Linked DNA regions of Arabidopsis thaliana. The protein of the gene in region 1 interacts with the protein of each later gene in a biochemical or structural test. Each region holds a gene or a part of one and is shown on either strand. Other genes may lie near its edges. The genes, in order: PHYA, PTAC12, PIL6 and JAR1.

Region 1 (7,155 bases):
AAAACTTTCTTCATGTCCTCCGGTGGTTCATCAAACTGAAGAAGAAGATGATCAGTCCTTGCAAAAGAGTGACAAAGATTGTTTTCCGTCATCTTCTTCTACTTCTTATACATAAGTAACCATTGACATTGTTTATTACAGTGACGATAACAGATTTTAAATGTTCTTTTTAATACGGAAGTTTTGGTGTAAAGAACCATTTTCTTTATTTTCGTATATAGATTATTGGCCTTGTTTCACACAAATACACACATTAAAAACCGAGAAAACACATGGTAATGAACAGTTGTTTTGAGAGTTCAATATCAAAAGAGTGAAAATGAAATAGCTCTCAAAGGGCGCCTTAAAGTTCCAAACCATCACATCCCTAGTGATTGAAGCGTTCTTGGCCGGCCATTAAGAAGTCTCCTAAGCTCATATTTGTTTTGTTCTTCAAAGTGTTATTCCTGAAATGGGATTAGTACCTTTTGCCAATTCAGATATGTGCAACATGGGCCATGACTATGTCTAATGGATGATACTGTGTTGCTAGGACAACATTTGCATTATGGAGGCACATTTTTGGTCCAACATAGCTGTGCCACAATATCTATGCTGAATTGCGCTGTCTAGATAAGACGTTGTCGATTCGATCTTCTCCGGAGATTTACTGCAAAAAACTTAGGGGGAGATTTAACTTTAAGAGGATAGAAGCAAAATACCTAAGAAAACATGGTAACGTGGATTTGCGATAAGAACGAATCGAAGTTTGACAATGATGTTAAAACGATATGGATTTTGTTTGACGAAAAAAAAATAAAACCTTAATAACGATTTTTTTACCCTTTTTATATAAAAAATAAAACAAATTTAAATTCTTCGAATAAACTTAAATTAGTTTTACAAATTTTATTACTTTCTTTCAACGATAAAAAAAAATACAAAAAAGGAAAGTCCCAACTTTGAAGTAAATCCCAGAAACAGATTACAAAACGCAAAAAGCCGAGAAAACGTGAAGCCCATAAGACTATCGTTGTCGTCTTCCTCAAAACCCAACTTTCTACTTCTGGTTACTGCCTTCATTAAACAACTACCACCATCTTTCTTTCTCTCTCTCTTTCTCGTTTTTTTATTTTATTAATAATCTTTTTTTTTTTTTTTACTTTTGATCTCTTATCCTTTGGACGATTCTCTTCAATCGGATTTATAAGAATCAACCCCATTTTGTTCTTCTTCCACTTTACTTCTTTTTTCCTCATTACACAGTCTTAGTCACATCGGTGAAAATATCAATTAATATTCCCCAGAAAGTTGCCAAGATTTACAAGTAGTAGTACTTGATATATCTTAAGCCCACTGTTCTGTTTTAGCGAGGAAAATGTTACCGGCGAAGCCGACCCTGTTCTTGATATGTGTGTGAAGTTTGTCTTTTATCCAAATTAAGCTTTTTTCTTCTTTTATTTTATTCCATTATAAAATATACAAATCGCCCATACTCCGAGACATGGGCATACGTATTCGGGGTGGTCCCATTCATCGTCGTCGTCTGTGTTAGGGAGCACAAATAATAGAGAGGCGTAGCACAAGAGAGAAGGTGGTGATCGAGGCCAAGATTTAGAATTTAACTATAACAAAAAGCCTCTGACGAGTGTGACTAGTCACAAGATCTGATCATGGCTTCTTGAAACTTCTTCTTCTTCTTTCTTCTCTTTAAAGGTACCTACTTTCCTTTTCCCAAAGTTTCCTCCTTTTTTTTCTTTTTTTAACTATATATATTGAAGCTTGCTTCGATTGATTTCTGCTGGGAGCTTACCAGCTAGCTACTGGTCTCACTCTTCTTACTGAAATTGATTCTAACTTTGAAGTTAATTTCTTAAAGCTATCCTCTGTTGTCATCAATACCCTCTTGTTTTCTGCGATATAAAGGTTTTGTAGGTCTCTTTCGATCTGGCTTGATGTGTGTTTGTTTTACTCAACTTTTTATAGTGTGTGATCATTTATGAGAAGAAGCATCCAATTAATTAATCTCATCCTTTTATCGCTTTTAACTCCTACGATTGCTTTCCCTGTGGGGACTTTATTGTTCCTTTTGAAAGGTATAGCTAGCTATAAAGACTCTTAAGAGTTTATTATTGAGTCTACTTTATGTATGTAGCTGTGTTTGAATCTTGAGAGGCTGATATTAGCTCAGATCCTCGTTTTGTTAGTATTTGTGTAGTGGATTTACCCTGTTAACTATCAACTATTATTTGTGCGACTTGTTCATAGTCAAGATGTTGTTGATTTTGGATTGTAGGATGACTTAGAAAGGAAGTGTTCATGGAATCTGACTGGTTCAGTTACTTTGAAAATGATAAATCATTGAACCTTGGAATATGACACGATGATTCCTGCATCTGTTGCGTCCTGTTTCTGGGTTTAGCTATGTATTCTCGATGGAGTTAGTCAAGTTCATAACTCTTTTTACTGTGTGTTTGAAATTCTGAATTGGTTCTTAGTGTTTCAAGTTTATGCTTATGCATTCGCTTGTATGACTGGTGATGAATGTTTTTGTGTTCATATGATTATGGCATGAATGTTTTATTCCCTCTTTTATCAGAGTTTTGCACTTATTTTTTGTTGTCTTGTCTCTGTGTCAGGAAAAAAATGTCAGGCTCTAGGCCGACTCAGTCCTCTGAGGGCTCAAGGCGATCAAGGCACAGCGCTAGGATCATTGCGCAGACCACTGTAGATGCGAAACTCCATGCTGATTTTGAGGAGTCAGGCAGCTCCTTTGATTACTCAACCTCAGTGCGTGTCACTGGCCCGGTTGTGGAGAATCAGCCACCAAGGTCTGACAAAGTTACCACGACTTATCTTCATCATATACAGAAGGGAAAGCTGATTCAGCCCTTCGGTTGTTTACTTGCCTTGGATGAGAAGACCTTCAAAGTTATTGCATACAGCGAGAATGCATCTGAGCTGTTGACAATGGCCAGTCATGCAGTTCCTAGTGTTGGCGAACACCCTGTTCTAGGCATTGGGACAGATATAAGGAGTCTTTTCACTGCTCCTAGTGCGTCTGCATTGCAGAAAGCCCTTGGATTTGGAGATGTCTCTCTTTTGAATCCCATTCTTGTGCACTGCAGGACTTCTGCAAAGCCCTTTTATGCGATTATCCACAGGGTTACAGGGAGCATCATCATCGACTTTGAACCCGTGAAGCCTTATGAAGTCCCCATGACAGCTGCTGGTGCCTTACAATCATACAAGCTCGCTGCCAAAGCAATCACTAGGCTGCAATCTTTACCCAGCGGGAGTATGGAAAGGCTTTGTGATACAATGGTTCAAGAGGTTTTTGAACTCACGGGGTATGACAGGGTGATGGCTTATAAGTTTCATGAAGATGATCACGGTGAGGTTGTCTCCGAGGTTACAAAACCTGGGCTGGAGCCTTATCTTGGGCTGCATTATCCTGCCACCGACATCCCTCAAGCAGCCCGTTTTCTGTTTATGAAGAACAAGGTCCGGATGATAGTTGATTGCAATGCAAAACATGCTAGGGTGCTTCAAGATGAAAAGCTTTCCTTTGACCTTACCTTGTGTGGCTCCACCCTTAGAGCACCGCACAGCTGCCATTTGCAGTACATGGCCAACATGGATTCAATTGCATCTCTGGTTATGGCGGTTGTAGTTAACGAGGAAGATGGAGAAGGGGATGCTCCTGATGCTACTACACAGCCTCAAAAGAGAAAGAGACTATGGGGTTTAGTGGTTTGTCACAATACGACTCCGAGGTTTGTTCCATTTCCTCTCAGGTATGCCTGTGAGTTTCTAGCTCAAGTGTTTGCCATACACGTCAATAAGGAGGTGGAACTCGATAACCAGATGGTGGAGAAGAACATTTTGCGCACGCAGACACTCTTGTGCGATATGCTGATGCGTGATGCTCCACTGGGTATTGTGTCGCAAAGCCCCAACATAATGGACCTTGTGAAATGTGATGGAGCAGCTCTCTTGTATAAAGACAAGATATGGAAACTGGGAACAACTCCAAGTGAGTTCCACCTGCAGGAGATAGCTTCATGGTTGTGTGAATACCACATGGATTCAACGGGTTTGAGCACTGATAGTTTGCATGACGCCGGGTTTCCTAGGGCTCTATCTCTCGGGGATTCGGTATGTGGGATGGCAGCTGTGAGGATATCATCGAAAGACATGATTTTCTGGTTCCGTTCTCATACCGCTGGTGAAGTGAGATGGGGAGGTGCGAAGCATGATCCAGATGATAGGGATGATGCAAGGAGAATGCACCCAAGGTCATCGTTCAAGGCTTTCCTTGAAGTGGTCAAGACAAGGAGTTTACCTTGGAAGGACTATGAGATGGATGCCATACACTCCTTGCAACTTATTTTGAGGAATGCTTTCAAGGATAGTGAAACTACTGATGTGAATACAAAGGTCATTTACTCGAAGCTAAATGATCTCAAAATTGATGGTATACAAGAACTAGAAGCTGTGACCAGTGAGATGGTTCGTTTAATTGAGACTGCTACGGTGCCAATATTGGCGGTTGATTCTGATGGACTGGTTAATGGTTGGAACACGAAAATTGCTGAGCTGACTGGTCTTTCGGTTGATGAAGCAATCGGGAAGCATTTCCTCACACTTGTTGAAGATTCTTCAGTGGAAATCGTTAAAAGGATGCTAGAGAACGCATTAGAAGGTAAACTCTCTTCCTAAGTTATGCTGAGTTTGCTAAGAATCTTCCAACTAGATTTCACTATTCAAGTTCCAATTGAGTATCGTGGTCGAAGAAACTTGATGCAATGTGTTGTTTTTGGTTCTTAATGATGGAATTTTGTTTTCCAATTTTATCAAACACTGAAGCCGAGTCTATAACTTCACTTGCTTATCTATGCAGGAACTGAGGAGCAGAATGTCCAGTTTGAGATCAAGACACATCTGTCCAGGGCTGATGCTGGGCCAATAAGTTTAGTTGTAAATGCATGCGCAAGTAGAGATCTCCATGAAAACGTGGTTGGGGTGTGTTTTGTAGCCCATGATCTTACTGGCCAGAAGACTGTGATGGACAAGTTTACGCGGATTGAAGGTGATTACAAGGCAATCATCCAAAATCCAAACCCGCTGATCCCGCCAATATTTGGTACCGATGAGTTTGGATGGTGCACAGAGTGGAATCCAGCAATGTCAAAGTTAACCGGTTTGAAGCGAGAGGAAGTGATTGACAAAATGCTCTTAGGAGAAGTATTTGGGACGCAGAAGTCATGTTGTCGTCTAAAGAATCAAGAAGCCTTTGTAAACCTTGGGATTGTGCTGAACAATGCTGTGACCAGTCAAGATCCAGAGAAAGTATCGTTTGCTTTCTTTACAAGAGGTGGCAAGTATGTGGAGTGTCTGTTGTGTGTGAGTAAGAAACTGGACAGGGAAGGTGTAGTGACAGGTGTCTTCTGTTTCCTGCAACTTGCCAGCCATGAGCTGCAGCAAGCGCTCCATGTTCAACGTTTAGCTGAGCGAACCGCAGTGAAGAGACTAAAGGCTCTAGCATACATAAAAAGACAGATCAGGAATCCGCTATCTGGGATCATGTTTACAAGGAAAATGATAGAGGGTACTGAATTAGGACCAGAGCAAAGACGGATTTTGCAAACTAGCGCGTTATGTCAGAAGCAACTAAGCAAGATCCTCGATGATTCGGATCTTGAAAGCATCATTGAAGGGTATGCTAGAATGAAAGTCCATTTAAAATATGGTTTATCTGTGTTCTTATGTTGGAATTTGACTGTGCAGATGCTTGGATTTGGAAATGAAAGAATTCACCTTAAATGAAGTGTTGACTGCTTCCACAAGTCAAGTAATGATGAAGAGTAACGGAAAGAGTGTTCGGATAACAAATGAGACCGGAGAAGAAGTAATGTCTGACACTTTGTATGGAGACAGTATTAGGCTTCAACAAGTCTTGGCAGATTTCATGCTGATGGCTGTAAACTTTACACCATCCGGAGGTCAGCTAACTGTTTCAGCTTCCCTGAGGAAGGATCAGCTCGGGCGTTCTGTGCATCTTGCTAATCTAGAGATCAGGTAAAATAGATATATTCATAATCAGAATGCATAATATGATGTTAAAAACAGTGCATTGAGGATATTGGGATTATGAAAACAGGTTAACGCATACCGGAGCTGGGATACCTGAGTTTTTACTAAACCAAATGTTTGGGACTGAGGAAGATGTGTCAGAAGAAGGATTGAGCTTAATGGTTAGCCGGAAACTGGTGAAGCTGATGAATGGAGATGTTCAGTACTTGAGACAAGCTGGGAAATCAAGTTTCATTATCACTGCGGAACTCGCTGCAGCAAACAAGTAGTCCCCAAAAGAAAAGGGGTCTGGCTTGATATAAAATAGTCACTGGTTGTTCTTTGCTTGTAACTTTCCTTATCGCTTTTGTTTTCGTTTTCAAATTTCAGTAACGATGAAATATCCATCCATTTACATCTTCTGTTGAACTCTTTTCTGAAGCTGTAAATATGGATGCATATCTAATCTCCTCCTGAGTGTTTTGGTTTCATGATGTATCATTCAAAATAAGTAATATAGGAGAAATGAGCTAATGTTTACGGTCCATGGTTTATCATAATGGCAGAAACTCAAACAAATATTCTATCTAGTTTCATATAATCTCCTTCTTTTAAGGTATTAGAGGTAATGCATGATTCGTGACTATGTTGCAAGAAGTCTTGGTTTCAAACAATTAGCTTTGGCTCAACTCCATGAAGAAGCAAACATAGTTCTTCGAACTTAACAGAGATCTATTAGCTGGCCATATGAAGTACACTTAGTTTTCTGTTAGAAGAAGCACATGGTGTGTGAAGTAAAAAATAAGTTATCATGTTAATTAAGTAATCAGTTTTATTAGACCCATACGTTAAGAGTCTCTCAAGTTGATTATTTTATCTGAAAAGTCAGATAAATTAGCTTACCTGTTTTGAAAGCTTTTAGATTAGATCAACCTCGACTTCTTACCTGTCTTTAGTCAACTTTGAACAAAAAATAATATGGATTATACAAGAAGACGAATACATGAGACTATGGAGCTCAAATGCACACTGAAGATCATCAGTTATTGTTCCTTTTTTATTACAGAAGACAAATCAAAGAAGATAAAAAGATCTTCCCTT
Region 2 (5,009 bases), on another chromosome or scaffold:
GGAGATTATTCTATGTAACATTTAACAAAAGTGTATTACAAGTAAATAAAGAATAAACTTTTTAAGTTACGAATGGTAAAAAACTAAAGAAATTTGTTAGTTCTCTGTTTGTATGCATGCATTGTCTCTCTGCTAAAATGTTCATGACAAGTCCACATCTACTCAAATACTCATCGAGGTGATTATCCTCGTCGTCGCTTTTATACACATGTAATATTACACACATCTATACATGGAGTATATTTTTAGCGAACGGATAGGTGCCATGTGGAGGTAAGTACACGTCGCCACTTGTGAGATTCTGTTCCAATTACTTGTGGAAGTGAATTATGTCGCAGAAAAAGTTTGACGAGATTTCCAATTAGCCACTCATTTATTAACGGTCACCAAAAGCATCAAATTACAGTTTTTTTTAGTGCTTTGAGATTCTTTTCCCTGACATATTGTTTTATGTAAAATAGCAAACTCGAAAAGATAGTAATAGTATCCAAATTATTATTATTACAGTATTATTTTTGATAAAAGGTTGTTATTCTTTTTTTATTTTTTTATTTATTGTATCTATTATATAATTCGAAACTGCTATATTGTTTGTCTTTAGTTTGCATCTCTAGCTTTATATATGCTTATGAAGTTTCAAATGTTGCTATTATATGCTGCTGATTCTTTTTTTCTTATGTAGGAGTATAGGTTTGACCGTTTGACAATACGAGAGGAAGAGGAAGTTGGGAAAAAACGACGCCGCATGGATAGTCTCGCTCGTTGCACGAATAGTTCAAAAGGTGACGTTAGGCGCGTGCGGGTCAGCGAAACTTGTGCCTAGTCAGACCTTTGTGGTATAGTCTTACGTGGTCTACGTCTGCCAAATTTCAGAAAACCAAAAAAACAATTATATGTTTGGTCCCTAGAAATAAATATTATCGTCGTTTAGCAAGTTTGAAGTAAGCAATAGTAGTATTAATGTATAAAAAGTGTAGGATATTAGGTTAAAATAGGCCTGTGATAGATACCGTAATGTCTATGATGTGTCTGGTCAGACCCATTTAATATTGGTTCAGACCATATTAGCACATTAGCCAATTGCCATTCACGTTGGGTCCAAACCTTCTTCCTTCTATAGTGTCTTAGACAAGTACGTACACACGCTGAAGTACAAATCATATACAAGTATTTATTCACTTAAAGGTACAATGATTGATGTTTTTTGTGTAACATGTTCCTCTAGTCCACTATATTAATCCATTACGGAGAGAACTATCTAAAAATTGTATAATCGCAATTGTAAATTGCAAATCTATTAACAAAACTAAGATGTGTTCACATGCATACTTCGATAAACATTCTTCCATATATCTTTTGTGTTAAGGCATGTTTTAAATGATCAAATCACATATTGATTTTATTTGAAAGTATATCAATATAATAAACTGTTTAGAAGATGTTTTGCCAAAAAAGAAAAAGATGTTTTGTTCTTCTTGGAAGTGTTTGTTAAAGCCCAAGAGAGACTTCAAGCTCACAATTTCTCAAAGATCCATTAATACTGGGCCTTAGTTAGATATACCAAGCCCATATACTTTCTCTTCACAAATTCCCGTTCTAATACCGGCGCGTCGTGAAATCTAGAGATTTTGCCGTCACCAGAATATGTTAATAAACGCAGGAGGAGATAAATGGATAAACCCAAAAACTGACAAGTGAAAACCTTTTGAAGCCAAAACCCCCTTCAAAATCAAGCTCCATGATAGAAAACCCTCTTCCTACATAATCTCCTGGTAAAACAAAAAGGTTAGTCTTTTTCTCCTCAACTTCGAGTGTGAAGCGTTTGTAAAAATGCCCAAAAAAATCGTACCTTGTTATGGACAATTTGTTGTATCAGGTTCTTCTTATCTGGGTTTTATGTTTTGTACTAGTTTGAAACTGATTCTGAGCATAATTGAATCGGTTGTTTTTGTAAATGATACAGTGAGAAGTAGAAAGAGTGTAAATGGCGTCAATATCAACCACCACCTGGCTCTACCGAGGTCAAGTATGCACAGACAGTGGAAAGTCCAGTAATTGTATTGTGCAGGTTGGTTCTTACACATCAAGTTTCTTGTTCTGATCCAAACTTATCTAATTTAGAGATAGTGAACATTTTAGCTTGTTTCAAGATGTCAAACTGGTAAAAGTTTGTTTATGTATGTAGAGACGGGTTAAATGTGGGTTTCCACTCAAGACATTGCATGCTGGGATTACTTCTAGGGATCGGTCTTTGCGACATTGTATCAAATGCAAGAAAGAGGATGGAGATGGTGATGTAAGTGAAGGGTCTAAGAAGAGTGAAGAAGGATTTGAGTATGTGACTGTTGAGAGGCATCCTTACCATAGTTATATGGATTCAACTTCTGGGAAGCTTGAGCCAGCGTCCGGGGCTCGGGCTAGTATTCCAGGTGAGGATTATTGGCCTGAAGGAACTTCGAGCCGGGTTAGAGCTGCTAGAGCTCCTCAACCAGCTGGTGAGTCTTCGAGTTTTCCTTCCTATGGAAAGAATCCTGGAAGTAGGAGAAAGAAGAATAGGAAAGCTACTGAGGAGAATGTGACTGTTGAAACGAATGACGAAGTATCCGATTCTGAGGATAGCTCTGAAGAAGAGGAAAATGATTCCTCGGATGGGTTTGTTACCTATAAGAATGAATTTGAGAGAGAAGAAGAGGAGACTGGTTTTGAATTAGACAAAAAGCTTGGAAGGCCACATCCTTTCATTGATCCTACGAAAAAGAAACAAATTGAAAAGACACTCACGAGCGATGAATCGTGGTGGAACTGGAGGAAACCGGAGAAAGAACAATGGTCAAGATGGCAAAGAAGACGTCCTGATGTTGAAACGGTTAGTCATCACAATGATTTCAGGTTTAAACATGTGTGTGTTTCCCCAATGTTTGATCCATTATGGTATTTTTTTTTGTTGTTGATGCAGGTTTTCCTCAAGGCAATGGCAGAAACAGGACAAGTGAAGCTCTATGGGGAAGAACCAACACTCACAGAAACTTCTCTTTATAGAGCAAGAAGGCATCTTTTCAAGGAAGAGAGGTATATTGATCTAACGAACTTTCAAGTGAAAATCTGTTTTATTAGGATTTTCTTTCGAGTTTTCTTTCTCTCAGGCTGCAAGCTGAGCGAGAGAGATTAGCGAAAGAAGGTCCAATGGCTTTTTATTCTGAATGGGTTAAAGCATGGAAGAGAGACACGTCAAGAGAAGCTGTACAAAAACATTTTGAAGAGACAGGTGAAGATGAAAACACACAACTGATTGAGATGTTCTCTCATCAAACAGATAGAGAATACCGGATAATGATGGGAACTGATATTAGGATCAAGAGAGATCCATTGGCAATGCGGATGAGGGAGGATCAAATTAAGCAAAGTAAGAAACTTTGACCGTTGAAGTTTGAACTAACTCATCATGGATATTCAATCGTTCGACTAACATTCTCGGTTTCTTGCAGTTTGGGGCGGGGATCCAGTTTACCCGACAATTAACTACATTCAAGATCCTAATGCGGTTATGGATTTCAGAGGACCTGATTTTCATGAGCCTACACCAAATATGCTCTCTTATCTAAAGGAGGTTAGTCTGCTTTGCTCAAAGTTCTATTCTTTTTCTTTCTTGGTCTGATTGTTTTCTTTGTTTCTGATTTGATCAGAATGGCAAAGTCATCTCAAGAGAGATGCATGAAGCACTACTGACAAAAGAGAAAACCGAGCAGCTCGAGGTAAAGTGACCAATCTTTCATTTCCTTTGACACAACTCTGATTGTGAGATTTCAGGGTTTCGCTTGATATGTTCGATAAATTGTATGAATGCAGGTACCTGACATGGATGATGCAATGGCACAAGCTGTTGATATTGGTGAAAACGATGTGAGTATCATCGATTACATCAGATCCTCTTCTTCTTTATTGTTTCTTGATGTATCATGCTCTGAAACATCTCCGGACATTTTTTGACAGGACGACGAAGACGATGCAGATGTAGAAAAAGACGACGAGAAAGTGCCGAGGAACTGGAGTGTCTTGAAGGAAACCCCTGAGCTTCGCACCGCCAAGGTAAAGTCACATTCAACTTGAGCCACATTATATGTCTTGTGTGGTGTGTTGATGTTATGAGCTTGGTTTCTTAAACAGCCTAAACCAAAGAAGGAAGGTCGGATGTCTCTAGACGAGGCCGTGGATGATGCTGAGAACTTAACTGATTTTCTCATGGACTTTGAAGAGGAGACTGATCCTTAAACCTGGTTTTCGTATTTCTTATGTAAAGACGTTATTTAGGGCAACTTTTTCTTCACTGGTTTTGCTTGTATACTTGGAAGGGATGATATCATTTAGGAGTGGATTTGAGTTTTGCAAGTGATTTGTATCATATGGAATTCAAATATTTTTGATTGAATTTATAGAGTTTTGAAAGTGATTTGTTAACTGTACTGCATCCTGTTTAGTTCAGCTTGAGACGGTTTAATCTGTTAAAACAAGACCTAAACCGAATTCGCAAGGAATATGATTTCACAATTAGTATCTGTCTCCTTTTTTTGTCATGTGTAGTTTAAAACCAAAGCCACAGCTTGTCAAACATTATTGTTTCGTGAAACGAATTGGACCAACAAAATCCTACAAATGAAATGAGGAATGTTTTGGTGTATAGAGAGAAACATTACTTAATCTCACTTGTTTCTGGTGATGACTCTATGGGTCAAGTCAATAAGTGCCCGCCTCGATCTTTTGACATCTTCATTGTCTGTTTCAGGTAGAGACCCGATTGCAGCTGCTGCTAGATTCGCATGTTCCATGGCTAATTCTCTTGCCCTCTGTATTCCCTTGCTCTTCCCAAGATACTCTAAAGCCTGTGTGATATAATAGTATTAGAGACTATGAAAACATATTATAGATTTTAGGAGATTTGTTTCTTTCAAACTTACAATGTCAACATTCCTAGGATCTTTTTCAACTTGATCAACAACTTCGCGTAGTTGAGG
Region 3 (5,351 bases), on another chromosome or scaffold:
CAAAGAATATAAAAATATTTTGCAATCTTGACTAATAAAAGTTCTTCTATTCAATAATAACTTTCGAAATTTCTATTCTACAAGAAGTGAGATTTGAATATCCTTGTATGGACCTTCAGAGCTATAATCATCACAAGGTCGGCGGCGGGAGCAGATCGGAGAGACGGAAAAGGCGGAGAGGAAAAAGGCGAGCGGCGGAATTGAAATTCAGATTGAAAACTATAATATAACGAAGAACTTCATGATCCCCTCAGTTTTTGTTATTTCTTATCCACATACTTCTCCGCCGCTTCTAGCCTTTCATTCCTACCACCATCCGTCTACTTCCATCGCCGCCACCGCCGCCTGAATGTTTCAGAACGGTCTCTTATAGAGTTAGGGTTTTGACGTTTTGTTCGGCCCTTTTCTCTGATAAATTTGTATTTTTCGGACTAAACTGGGCCGTATCTTAGGCCCAATAACGCATCTCCACAACACAGTACAATATCTGTTATATGACATGACTTAAAACTTTTGGGCCTTTTCTGATAAATTCAATTTGCTAATGTCATTCTATTTAATGTGATGTTATCTTCATCCTATGAATATGCATATTCATAAATATTTAATGTATGTATATGGTTCCTTAATCAATGATGATTGATAGATTCGTTCCTTCGTCGAAATCTAATGTATATGCATAGAATTAATTCATATATCGGTTTAGAAGATGATGGAATTAATTATCCAACTAGGCGACGACTTATATGTCGACATGAGTTATAAATTCAAATACAACGACATCATTTGAGTCAAATGCAAACAAAAATTATAAGAAAAATAAAATAGCAATCGAAGGGTTTTGGGGTTTTATGATTTATGGCTGGCATCTGTGTAACCGTGTTCCTCTTTGCTTGATTGGGATAACAACGTTTTACATGTATCGTCCACGACGAACGAATCTATCTATCAACTTAATTCATCCAACTAGCAAATAGCAACTTGCATACAAAATAATTTATCAAAAAAAAAAAAAACTTGCATACGGAAGAAAAAGTGTTATTATTCAGCAATTTTCACTAAACTACTCATATTTAAATTCCATATTTTGCACTAAATTACTATTTCTATGGCTGGAAACAAAAACTGAGTTACTTGGCTCATGGCCTTCTATAGCCTTGAATGGACGCTATTACGACCTCGTCTCTTTCGTGGAAAAAGCAAATGAGGGCCAAAGACTTTTAAAGGGAAATGTCTCCTTTCGGTGGATGCTTTCTTCACAAATGCACCCACTATATATGTCTGTCTGTCTACTTGTAAGTTGCAATGTAATATATTCATGAATTTATCATACTAATAATATGTTTGTTTATCATTAGATCGGTAGGGGTTATGCACATTAAACGATAAGATTGATGTGATAAGGGTTAGAAACTGATCTACTGTTAAATTATTGTGATAAGGATCGGAAATTAATGTGATCATAATTTTGGTGGACCATTGTTTGTCTGTGGTCCATGACAAACAAGTCACAACGGTCCACGGTTTATTACGACATTGTGAATTTGTGATTGCATATTTAGGTTCAAAACTGTTATTAATATCCAAAATTTTGTGTATAATTAATAAATTCCAAATTCACAATCAACTAAAAGTTATATGTATAAACTTGCAGTTGTTTAGAGAATGATAATAACACAAAAACTTACGATGGTAGCTTTAACTAGTCAACACGTGAAATAAATGCGATGTGGAAATTTGCCGGGGGAAAAAATGATGACTTCTCAAGATTATTTCCGCTCGGGTTTTAATGAGACTCTGACATGAAATTGAATTCAGATGATTATAAAACGGTTCATATATTCATATAGTAGATGATGATATAAACTCATCGAAGCATCGTAGAAAATAGAGAACTTCAATTTGTTTTTTGTTTACCATTATTAGAGATACTATTCGCTGAAAGAGAAGCATAAGAGGGGTGTTATGATTTGACAAAAACACCCTTAATCATTGGTCAAGACTCAAAGAGTGTTGCAGATAAGGTACAGATCAGAAACCCACCTCTAGAAATCGAGCAATAGATCTCTCTCAACTTCACAGACAAAATCCAACCGAGTTGGTGGGTCTCACTAACTCTTTAACTAGTTGTCTGACAATTCGCCACGTGTCGGTCATCCTGATCAGTTTCAGTACTATTGCCCCCACCGAATCATTATCTCCCCCTCGCTCACTCGCTTACTTACCGTAATAATCTCTCTGCTTCCCTCCTCTAGCTCTTGTCCCTTTCTGTCTGAACCTGGCAAGAAGAACCTTAGCCTCTCTTTCTTCTTTCTCTCTCTCTCTCTCTGTGTTACTGTTCTGTTTCAACTTTACTCCCTCAGTTTCAGAACAATTCCCTATCTAGAAGAGAGATAAAACCGAGAAGGTTTTGGAGATAGAATCTTTTGTTCTTCTTTTGTCCCTCCTTGCTCGATTTTTGTTACGTGTGAAGCAATAAAAAAAAACTGATATAGCTAAATCTTCCATCCATTCAGAGGCTTCTAAATCTGGTAATTACTTTTATAGCTTCCCCTTAGTAAGAGTTTACTATATATAGAATTAGTTGCTTTATTAAATCATTTCCTCCTAGATTGTTGGAGAGGGTTGTTTGGTTTAATTATTTTCTAATCATTAAACTGTTGGGATTTCGAATAATCTTTTCTAAGTTGATTGCTTTCATCATCCTTTTTCCTCAAATCTCCTGTTAATCATTATACTAATTATGAATCAAATCATTTCTTATTCACTTACAAAAAAGTAATATATTCTTTATTTAAGTGTCTTTACAGATCTGACATGGAACAAGTGTTTGCTGATTGGAATTTTGAAGATAATTTTCACATGTCCACTAATAAAAGATCAATCAGGTATATATCAATTTTCCAATTCAAGTATTTCATAATTATATACCAATTTCACATCTTAATCATAGCTATTTAAGTATTGTTTGTTTAAAATATGTTTGTAAACATTCATATGTTGGGACAGACCAGAAGATGAATTAGTGGAGCTATTGTGGAGAGATGGTCAAGTGGTTTTACAAAGCCAAGCTCGTAGAGAACCGTCAGTCCAAGTCCAAACCCACAAACAAGAAACCCTAAGAAAACCCAACAATATTTTTCTTGACAACCAAGAAACAGTACAAAAGCCTAACTACGCTGCTCTAGATGATCAAGAAACCGTCTCCTGGATACAATACCCTCCGGATGACGTCATCGACCCTTTCGAATCCGAGTTCTCCTCTCATTTCTTCTCTTCGATCGATCACCTCGGAGGTCCTGAGAAGCCACGAACGATCGAAGAGACAGTTAAGCATGAGGCTCAAGCCATGGCTCCTCCTAAGTTTAGATCCTCGGTTATAACAGTCGGACCGAGTCATTGCGGCAGCAACCAGTCAACAAATATTCATCAGGCCACTACACTTCCGGTTTCTATGAGTGATAGAAGCAAGAACGTCGAAGAAAGACTTGACACTTCGTCAGGTGGCTCCTCCGGTTGCAGCTATGGAAGGAACAACAAAGAAACCGTTAGTGGAACAAGTGTAACCATTGACCGTAAAAGAAAACATGTTATGGATGCTGATCAAGAATCTGTGTCTCAATCAGATATAGGTTTGACCTCAACCGATGATCAAACCATGGGTAACAAATCGAGCCAACGGTCAGGATCTACTCGAAGAAGCCGTGCAGCTGAAGTTCATAATCTCTCAGAAAGGGTATACATATACTATTTCTGACTAGTTGATCAACCATTCAGTAATAATAATTCTGATGTGATCTTTGTCTATTAATTACAGAGGAGGAGAGATCGGATCAATGAAAGAATGAAAGCTCTTCAAGAACTCATACCTCACTGCAGCAGAGTAAGTTTTTTCATCACAAAAAAACTGAGTTAATTAAGCTGTAATTGATTGGTGTGTTTAAATATGGTTTTGTCTTCTTCTTTTTTTGTGTAGACAGATAAAGCTTCGATATTGGATGAAGCAATTGATTACTTAAAATCACTTCAAATGCAACTCCAAGTGATGTGGATGGGAAGTGGAATGGCGGCGGCGGCAGCAGCAGCAGCAAGTCCGATGATGTTTCCCGGGGTACAATCATCTCCATACATTAATCAGATGGCTATGCAAAGTCAGATGCAATTGTCTCAATTCCCGGTTATGAACCGGTCCGCTCCGCAGAACCATCCCGGTTTAGTATGTCAAAACCCGGTACAGTTGCAGCTCCAAGCACAGAACCAAATCTTATCGGAGCAGCTCGCTAGGTACATGGGCGGGATTCCCCAGATGCCGCCGGCGGGAAATCAGGTCAGTTGCAGACGGCATCGTTTTGAAGAAAGACAAATATATTTATTTAATATCTGACGTGTCATGTTTTAAATTAGATGCAGACCGTGCAACAACAACCAGCGGACATGTTGGGATTTGGATCTCCGGCGGGACCGCAAAGTCAACTGTCGGCACCGGCGACCACCGACAGTCTTCATATGGGTAAAATAGGCTGACTTGGCATATAGTTTTCCTCCGAAATTATTCTTCTTACAGTTGGTGATTGTTATTTATTTTTGGTCGCCTAAGCAAGCATAAAAGCTAAGTCAAATGTATTATAGAGATCTAATAAGTTAGTCTCATACTTATAACTTATTTTTAAACAGTTGAATTATAGTATCAATCAAGTGTTGGGAACCTAAAGATCATACATGTGTCAATACTTTTATATTTGTTCTCAAGGTTCATCAGAAAAACAAAATAAAAAGGATAGACTAGGCCTGCATTTGACATTATCATGGGCTTTTTTGGGTCTATGAATATGAACATTAACCCATATTACTGCTCAAAACGCATACGTTATACAAAAAACGGAAAACGCTAACGTGGTTTACTCCACCACGATTCGTACGTAACGACTAGCGAGTCCCATACCTACTCGATTTTTAGTTTCCTCAAGTTAACGGTGAAATCAAATTACCGATTATGTCCTTCTAAAGTGACACGTGTCTTACAAGAGGAGCGAGTTTATCCTAATCACATACTCGAGCGTGTAGGTTTCCGATTAAAGCGAAGCAGAAAAAAATTACTAAAATAATAAAAACGTATAGAATGTGATTAATTAAGTCAACCAATAAGCATCTTACAAATCAGCACTCTGAAAACAAACACGATTATTAATAGAAAAAGCTGCGACCCGACTCCTGAGCCTCTCTCTTTCTATCGCTCTTTGATTTTGTTTCTCATTGTTTTGCTTCAAATTACGCATTCGAATCTGATCTTCGTTGATCTCTGTGGAAGAAACAGATAAGAGAAAATCGCATGAATTTTTTTAGAAAACTAG
Region 4 (5,194 bases), on another chromosome or scaffold:
AACAAAAAATGTGGCGGGTGTAGTGGAACCCACTCAAAAAAATCAGGCAACTTTCGTAATTTAATGAAACATTTGGGGGCGAAAATAAGGAAAACGTAAAGGATGTGACCGACAAATTATTTAGAGCCGAGACGTAATTGAATTGGACGGCACTGCCACGTGTAAGCACGAAACTCACTTGGGTCACAGTACATGCGGATCCAGAGGATCTTTTATACTAATCCAATTAGACTCATCCACGTGTCAAATTAGTTAAATTTAAGTTTTTTTTAGTCCGAAATTAAAGTTAGAATATTAAATTAATTTCCACACACAATCGTTTTTCTTAGTTATTTTACAACTAGCTAGTATAAACGATAACCAAAATGGATGACATCAAAATAATTAATTAGGCCAAAAATAATAATATCAGCAGTCAATAATAAAATTGTGTATGCATGTGTCATGGTACCATTGTTTCTTAAGCTCAAAACATTTATGATGAGCATGGAGGAATATGTGATTTATGTTGACTTGTCATGCATGTATACAATTTATAGCTTCTTCAGTCAACAAAAAAAATTGAAAATGTTAACTTCTCTAAAAGGAGCTTTTCCACAGATTTCAATCAGTTCATGATTTTCTCGATATAAAGTAGGCATGAAATTGACGAATGAAAATGTATGAATTGAAGAAACTATATAATGAAAAACAAGAATCATCAATAAAAATCAAATGTTTCTTACATAGTTTTTTTTTCTTCTTCAAGGAAATCAACTATGTTTTGTTTTTTTATACAATCAGATCATTAGATTAATCGTATGTTTTTGTAACTTAACTTATGTTGATCAGCTTCATTAAAATGAGAGTTTATTCTTGTAAACAAAAAAGTTAGTTGTGATGACTAATATGCGTTTCCGAAACGAAACCCTAAACCCTGCAATAGAAAAGGGATTGTTGAACTTAATTTGTTTTGTGCACGAGAAGATGGATGAAACAGAATTGTTAACCAAAAATCTTATGAACCTAATTCCAAAAATCTTATGAACCTCACAGACTTTGAGAATCGTTTAAATGACTAATGTAAAGATGTGCAAGCAACTGATATGAAGAATTGTTAACCATATATTGTGATATCTCATATTTGTATATATATTTGATATATACAAATATGTTTGTTCCAAATTTTGTTACAAACTACACAGCCAAATATAAGAAGCTATCAAATATTATTTCTTTAGCAAGTTTGAATTAATCAAACGCAGGTCATTATAAATTAAATCATAACAGGTGGTATAAAAACAACGTATTTTGTTAAATTTAAGTGATTGTAGTCTTAGAATTATATATAGGTCTTTTGTTAGAGATGAATAGTTGATTTCTGATGTATTTCCTAGTATTACATCATTAACGCAATGACCATATATAATGATATAGACAACGATGACAGAGAGGTGACTAAGTTAACATGTTATGATCCTCGTCTGAATAAACTAGAAGACTAGCCGCATGAAAATTCTTAGTTAACAAAAAATGATGTTGTCTATATGTATATCTACTACTAATATCATGAACCCAAATTACTCAAGAATTAAAGAAATAATATTCCTAACACAAGTTGGCTTTTCGTAAACTAAACTTACGGTATTGTTTTATGCATCGATCATAATGAATATTTTAAAACACTAAAACATGGTTAAAAAAAAAAGTAATCCACATGCGATTGTTTTGGATTGGTCCTTTTAAATAAACTAAAGTTTTGGCAGAGAGGAACCAAGTAAAAATGGGCATTATCTAAGAATGGTCCTAATTCCAAGAAGATATTACACTCTTTTACAGATTGGACCCAAACACTCATGTGAAGATGAAAAAATAAACTAAGAATACAAAAAGAAGAAAATAAAAGAAAAAATCAGAGATCCCGTCGGAGAAAGAAAAAGAGAAGATAGAGAGATACAAGTAACGGCTTCCACTAATCTTTCGCCTTCTACATTTTTGCTGCTCCGTCCAATTTTTGTGTCTATAAAATAAGACAGCTTCTTTCTCTTGACTTTCCAAATTCACTCAACTTTCTCTCACTCCTTTTTTCTCTCTCTCTCTCTATCCTCTACAGAGCTCGCAGCAACTAGCGCAGGTACTCTCTCTTTCTCACTCCTTAATCTAGATACTAAAGCTGATCATTTTCATATCTCTCAGTAATCCGTTTCGTCTGATCGGGTAAAACACACTTCCAATTACTCCGGTTCCGACCTCGTTGACTTTTTCTTCAGATAGATTCCAAAAAAGTTCTCATCTTTACTTGTTCAATCTCATAGATTCCGATTTGGGTCTGATTGTTACCTCTCCACAACTATTGGGTTCCTCTCAAAACCCTTCGATTTCTTGATCCATCCTTCCTTAATTTTCGATTCTCGAAAACCGTTTTCACAACTTTTTTTTATAAAAAAAAAAATCTGCAAAAAGATCTCTCTGATAAGAATTTTTAAAAACTTTCCCTTTATGGATGCTCTGAAACATAAAAGAGCTTTTAAGTTTATACCTTCCCTTATATTCTCTGTTTTCAAATCTGTCAGAATCTGATCACTCTTTTCTTTTTATCTACTTCAGGATGTTGGAGAAGGTTGAAACTTTCGACATGAACAGAGTCATTGATGAATTCGATGAAATGACTAGAAACGCTCATCAAGTCCAGAAACAAACTTTGAAAGAGATTCTTCTCAAGAACCAATCCGCCATTTACTTACAAAACTGTGGTCTCAATGGAAACGCTACTGACCCTGAAGAAGCTTTCAAATCTATGGTTCCTTTAGTCACTGATGTTGAATTAGAGCCTTACATCAAAAGAATGGTTGATGGTGACACTTCACCTATTCTCACTGGTCACCCTGTTCCTGCCATTTCCTTAAGGTAACTTCCTCTTTTTGCTTTATCATTGATGATTCTGTTTCTCAGTGTGTGTGTTTTTGATCATCAGCTCTGGAACTAGTCAAGGCCGTCCAAAGTTTATTCCTTTCACTGATGAATTAATGGAGAACACATTGCAACTGTTTCGCACTGCTTTTGCCTTCAGAAACAGGTATAGTTTAAATTTGTGTTTATGTTTCCCCCACACACATTTCACACTTTTCTCTGTTCCATCCATTGACATGAACAGAGAAACTAGTGATGTTGTTACTTACCACCGACTATGCCTTAACATGTGATGTTTTTCTTCTTGTACAGAGATTTTCCCATTGATGACAATGGCAAAGCTTTGCAATTTATCTTCAGCAGCAAGCAGTACATATCAACGGGAGGTGTCCCGGTTGGAACCGCAACCACAAACGTGTACCGCAACCCTAACTTCAAAGCTGGGATGAAATCTATAACGTCTCCTTCCTGTAGTCCCGACGAAGTTATCTTTAGTCCTGATGTCCATCAAGCCTTGTATTGCCATCTCTTATCCGGAATTCTCTTCAGAGATCAAGTTCAATACGTCTTTGCCGTCTTTGCTCACGGTCTAGTTCACGCTTTTAGAACCTTTGAACAGGTTTGGGAAGAGATTGTTACCGATATCAAAGATGGTGTCTTAAGCAACCGTATTACTGTCCCATCGGTCCGTACTGCAATGTCGAAGCTGCTCACACCTAACCCTGAGCTAGCTGAGACGATCCGCACCAAATGTATGAGTTTGAGCAACTGGTACGGATTGATTCCCGCGCTCTTCCCCAACGCAAAGTATGTTTACGGGATCATGACTGGCTCCATGGAGCCGTATGTGCCAAAGCTGAGACATTACGCGGGTGATCTACCTCTTGTGAGCCATGACTACGGTAGCTCGGAAGGATGGATTGCTGCTAATGTTACCCCAAGGTTATCTCCAGAGGAAGCTACATTTGCTGTGATTCCGAATCTCGGTTATTTCGAGTTTCTCCCTGTATCTGAAACAGGGGAAGGAGAGGAGAAACCGGTTGGTTTAACTCAAGTCAAGATTGGAGAAGAGTATGAAGTTGTCATCACAAATTACGCAGGTATTACCGTTGTTTTAAGGCTGGAATTAGCGTAGTATCGGTCTCGTAATGGATGCTTATAATTCTCATTTGATCCACATTGCACAGGGTTGTATCGATACCGGCTTGGAGATGTGGTAAAGGTCATTGGTTTCTACAACAACACTCCCCAACTAAAATTCATATGCAGGAGAAACCTGATTCTCTCGATCAACATCGACAAGAACACCGAAAGAGACCTTCAGCTTTCAGTAGAATCGGCTGCAAAGAGACTCTCAGAAGAAAAGATCGAGGTCATAGACTTCTCTAGCTACATCGATGTCTCGACAGATCCAGGACATTACGCTATCTTCTGGGAGATTTCAGGAGAAACAAACGAAGACGTTCTTCAAGATTGCTGCAACTGTTTAGACCGAGCATTCATCGATGCGGGTTACGTTAGTTCCCGGAAATGCAAGACTATTGGAGCCTTGGAGCTGAGAGTTGTCGCAAAAGGAACTTTCCGGAAGATTCAAGAACATTTTCTCGGGCTTGGTTCATCGGCTGGACAGTTTAAGATGCCAAGATGTGTGAAGCCAAGTAATGCTAAGGTTCTCCAAATTCTGTGTGAGAATGTGGTGAGTAGCTACTTCAGCACAGCGTTTTGACTCACTAAAATTGTGTGAAATCAAAGAAAGTGGTTTTTAGTTGTTTATTTCCGTCGTTGTTGTCTTTATTTGTCAATATAGTTTTCTTTACGTTATTTAATTGAGCATAAACTTTTTTTATCTTTATAGAATTTGTATCACAGTGGTTTTACTTTGCTTTTTGTGCAATTAGTGTTTGGGAAATAAATAGATTTCTGATGTGACGTTACCTTTATTATACTTGGAACAAAAAAATCAAGATTCGAATAATTGATTGTCTGTATGGAGAATAAAATTCGGATAATCTAATCTATCTCGATCTGACCTGAACCATATTGTGAAAATATTGTTTTATATTACGATATTCGAAACAATAATGTACGTGTTCGACAATTGAATTTTGGTGCTTCTCTCAAAAACAAGAAGAGATCATAAACAATTAAAAATTTAGAGATCATAAACTCTCTAAATACTTTGCCAAAACAAAAAAAAAACTCTCTAAATATAGATAGTGGTGTGATTTTGTGTGAGAAGCTATACGTGACTACGACATTATTAGTGCGACCGATGTTTATTTAGAGAGTTCTAATTACGAAAAAG

What was found.
Region 2: the proteins of PHYA (region 1) and PTAC12 form a complex in vitro, tested with the Arabidopsis thaliana proteins (one study listed by BioGRID).
Region 3: of the proteins of PHYA (region 1) and PIL6, one has a biochemical effect on the other in vitro, tested with the Arabidopsis thaliana proteins (one study listed by BioGRID).
Region 4: the proteins of PHYA (region 1) and JAR1 form a complex in vitro, tested with the Arabidopsis thaliana proteins (one study listed by BioGRID).

Annotation. Positions count from the first base shown.
Region 1 is NC_003070.9:3,094,687-3,101,841, reverse strand, and holds PHYA (phytochrome A), read left to right. Parts: upstream 1-2,011; 5' UTR 2,012-2,414; coding exon 2,415-2,419; intron 2,420-2,618; coding exon 2,619-4,684; intron 4,685-4,882; coding exon 4,883-5,699; intron 5,700-5,769; coding exon 5,770-6,060; intron 6,061-6,142; coding exon 6,143-6,344; 3' UTR 6,345-6,639; downstream 6,640-7,155. UniProt on the Arabidopsis thaliana protein: Regulatory photoreceptor which exists in two forms that are reversibly interconvertible by light: the Pr form that absorbs maximally in the red region of the spectrum and the Pfr form that absorbs maximally in the far-red region.
Region 2 is NC_003071.7:14,581,321-14,586,329, reverse strand, and holds PTAC12 (plastid transcriptionally active 12), read left to right. Parts: upstream 1-1,532; 5' UTR 1,533-1,785; intron 1,786-1,963; 5' UTR 1,964-1,984; coding exon 1,985-2,068; intron 2,069-2,185; coding exon 2,186-2,866; intron 2,867-2,956; coding exon 2,957-3,069; intron 3,070-3,143; coding exon 3,144-3,403; intron 3,404-3,485; coding exon 3,486-3,607; intron 3,608-3,683; coding exon 3,684-3,752; intron 3,753-3,846; coding exon 3,847-3,900; intron 3,901-3,990; coding exon 3,991-4,086; intron 4,087-4,164; coding exon 4,165-4,269; 3' UTR 4,270-4,495; downstream 4,496-5,009. Other genes in the region: GPS1 (geranyl diphosphate synthase 1), read right to left, coding at 4,698-4,877, 4,953-5,009. UniProt on the Arabidopsis thaliana protein: Involved in plastid gene expression. Acidic transcriptional coactivator necessary for the transactivation of many PIFs target genes (class B genes), particularly during the regulation of hypocotyl growth.
Region 3 is NC_003074.8:21,827,362-21,832,712, reverse strand, and holds PIL6 (phytochrome interacting factor 3-like 6), read left to right. Parts: upstream 1-1,875; 5' UTR 1,876-2,531; exon of another isoform or gene 2,532-2,810; 5' UTR 2,811-2,817; coding exon 2,818-2,888; intron 2,889-3,009; coding exon 3,010-3,736; intron 3,737-3,817; coding exon 3,818-3,883; intron 3,884-3,976; coding exon 3,977-4,327; intron 4,328-4,404; coding exon 4,405-4,524; 3' UTR 4,525-4,808; downstream 4,809-5,351. Other genes in the region: AT3G59070 (Cytochrome b561/ferric reductase transmembrane with DOMON related domain-containing protein), read left to right, coding at 155-349. UniProt on the Arabidopsis thaliana protein: Transcription factor acting negatively in the phytochrome B signaling pathway to promote the shade-avoidance response. Regulates PHYB abundance at the post-transcriptional level, possibly via the ubiquitin-proteasome pathway.
Region 4 is NC_003071.7:19,031,755-19,036,948, forward strand, and holds JAR1 (Auxin-responsive GH3 family protein), read left to right. Parts: upstream 1-1,986; 5' UTR 1,987-2,478; coding exon 2,479-2,510; intron 2,511-2,586; coding exon 2,587-2,886; intron 2,887-2,953; coding exon 2,954-3,055; intron 3,056-3,201; coding exon 3,202-3,989; intron 3,990-4,076; coding exon 4,077-4,615; 3' UTR 4,616-4,691; downstream 4,692-5,194. UniProt on the Arabidopsis thaliana protein: Catalyzes the synthesis of jasmonates-amino acid conjugates by adenylation; can use Ile and, in vitro at least, Val, Leu and Phe as conjugating amino acids on jasmonic acid (JA) and 9,10-dihydro-JA substrates, and to a lower extent, on 3-oxo-2-(2Z-pentenyl)-cyclopentane-1-butyric acid (OPC-4) and 12-hydroxy-JA (12-OH-JA).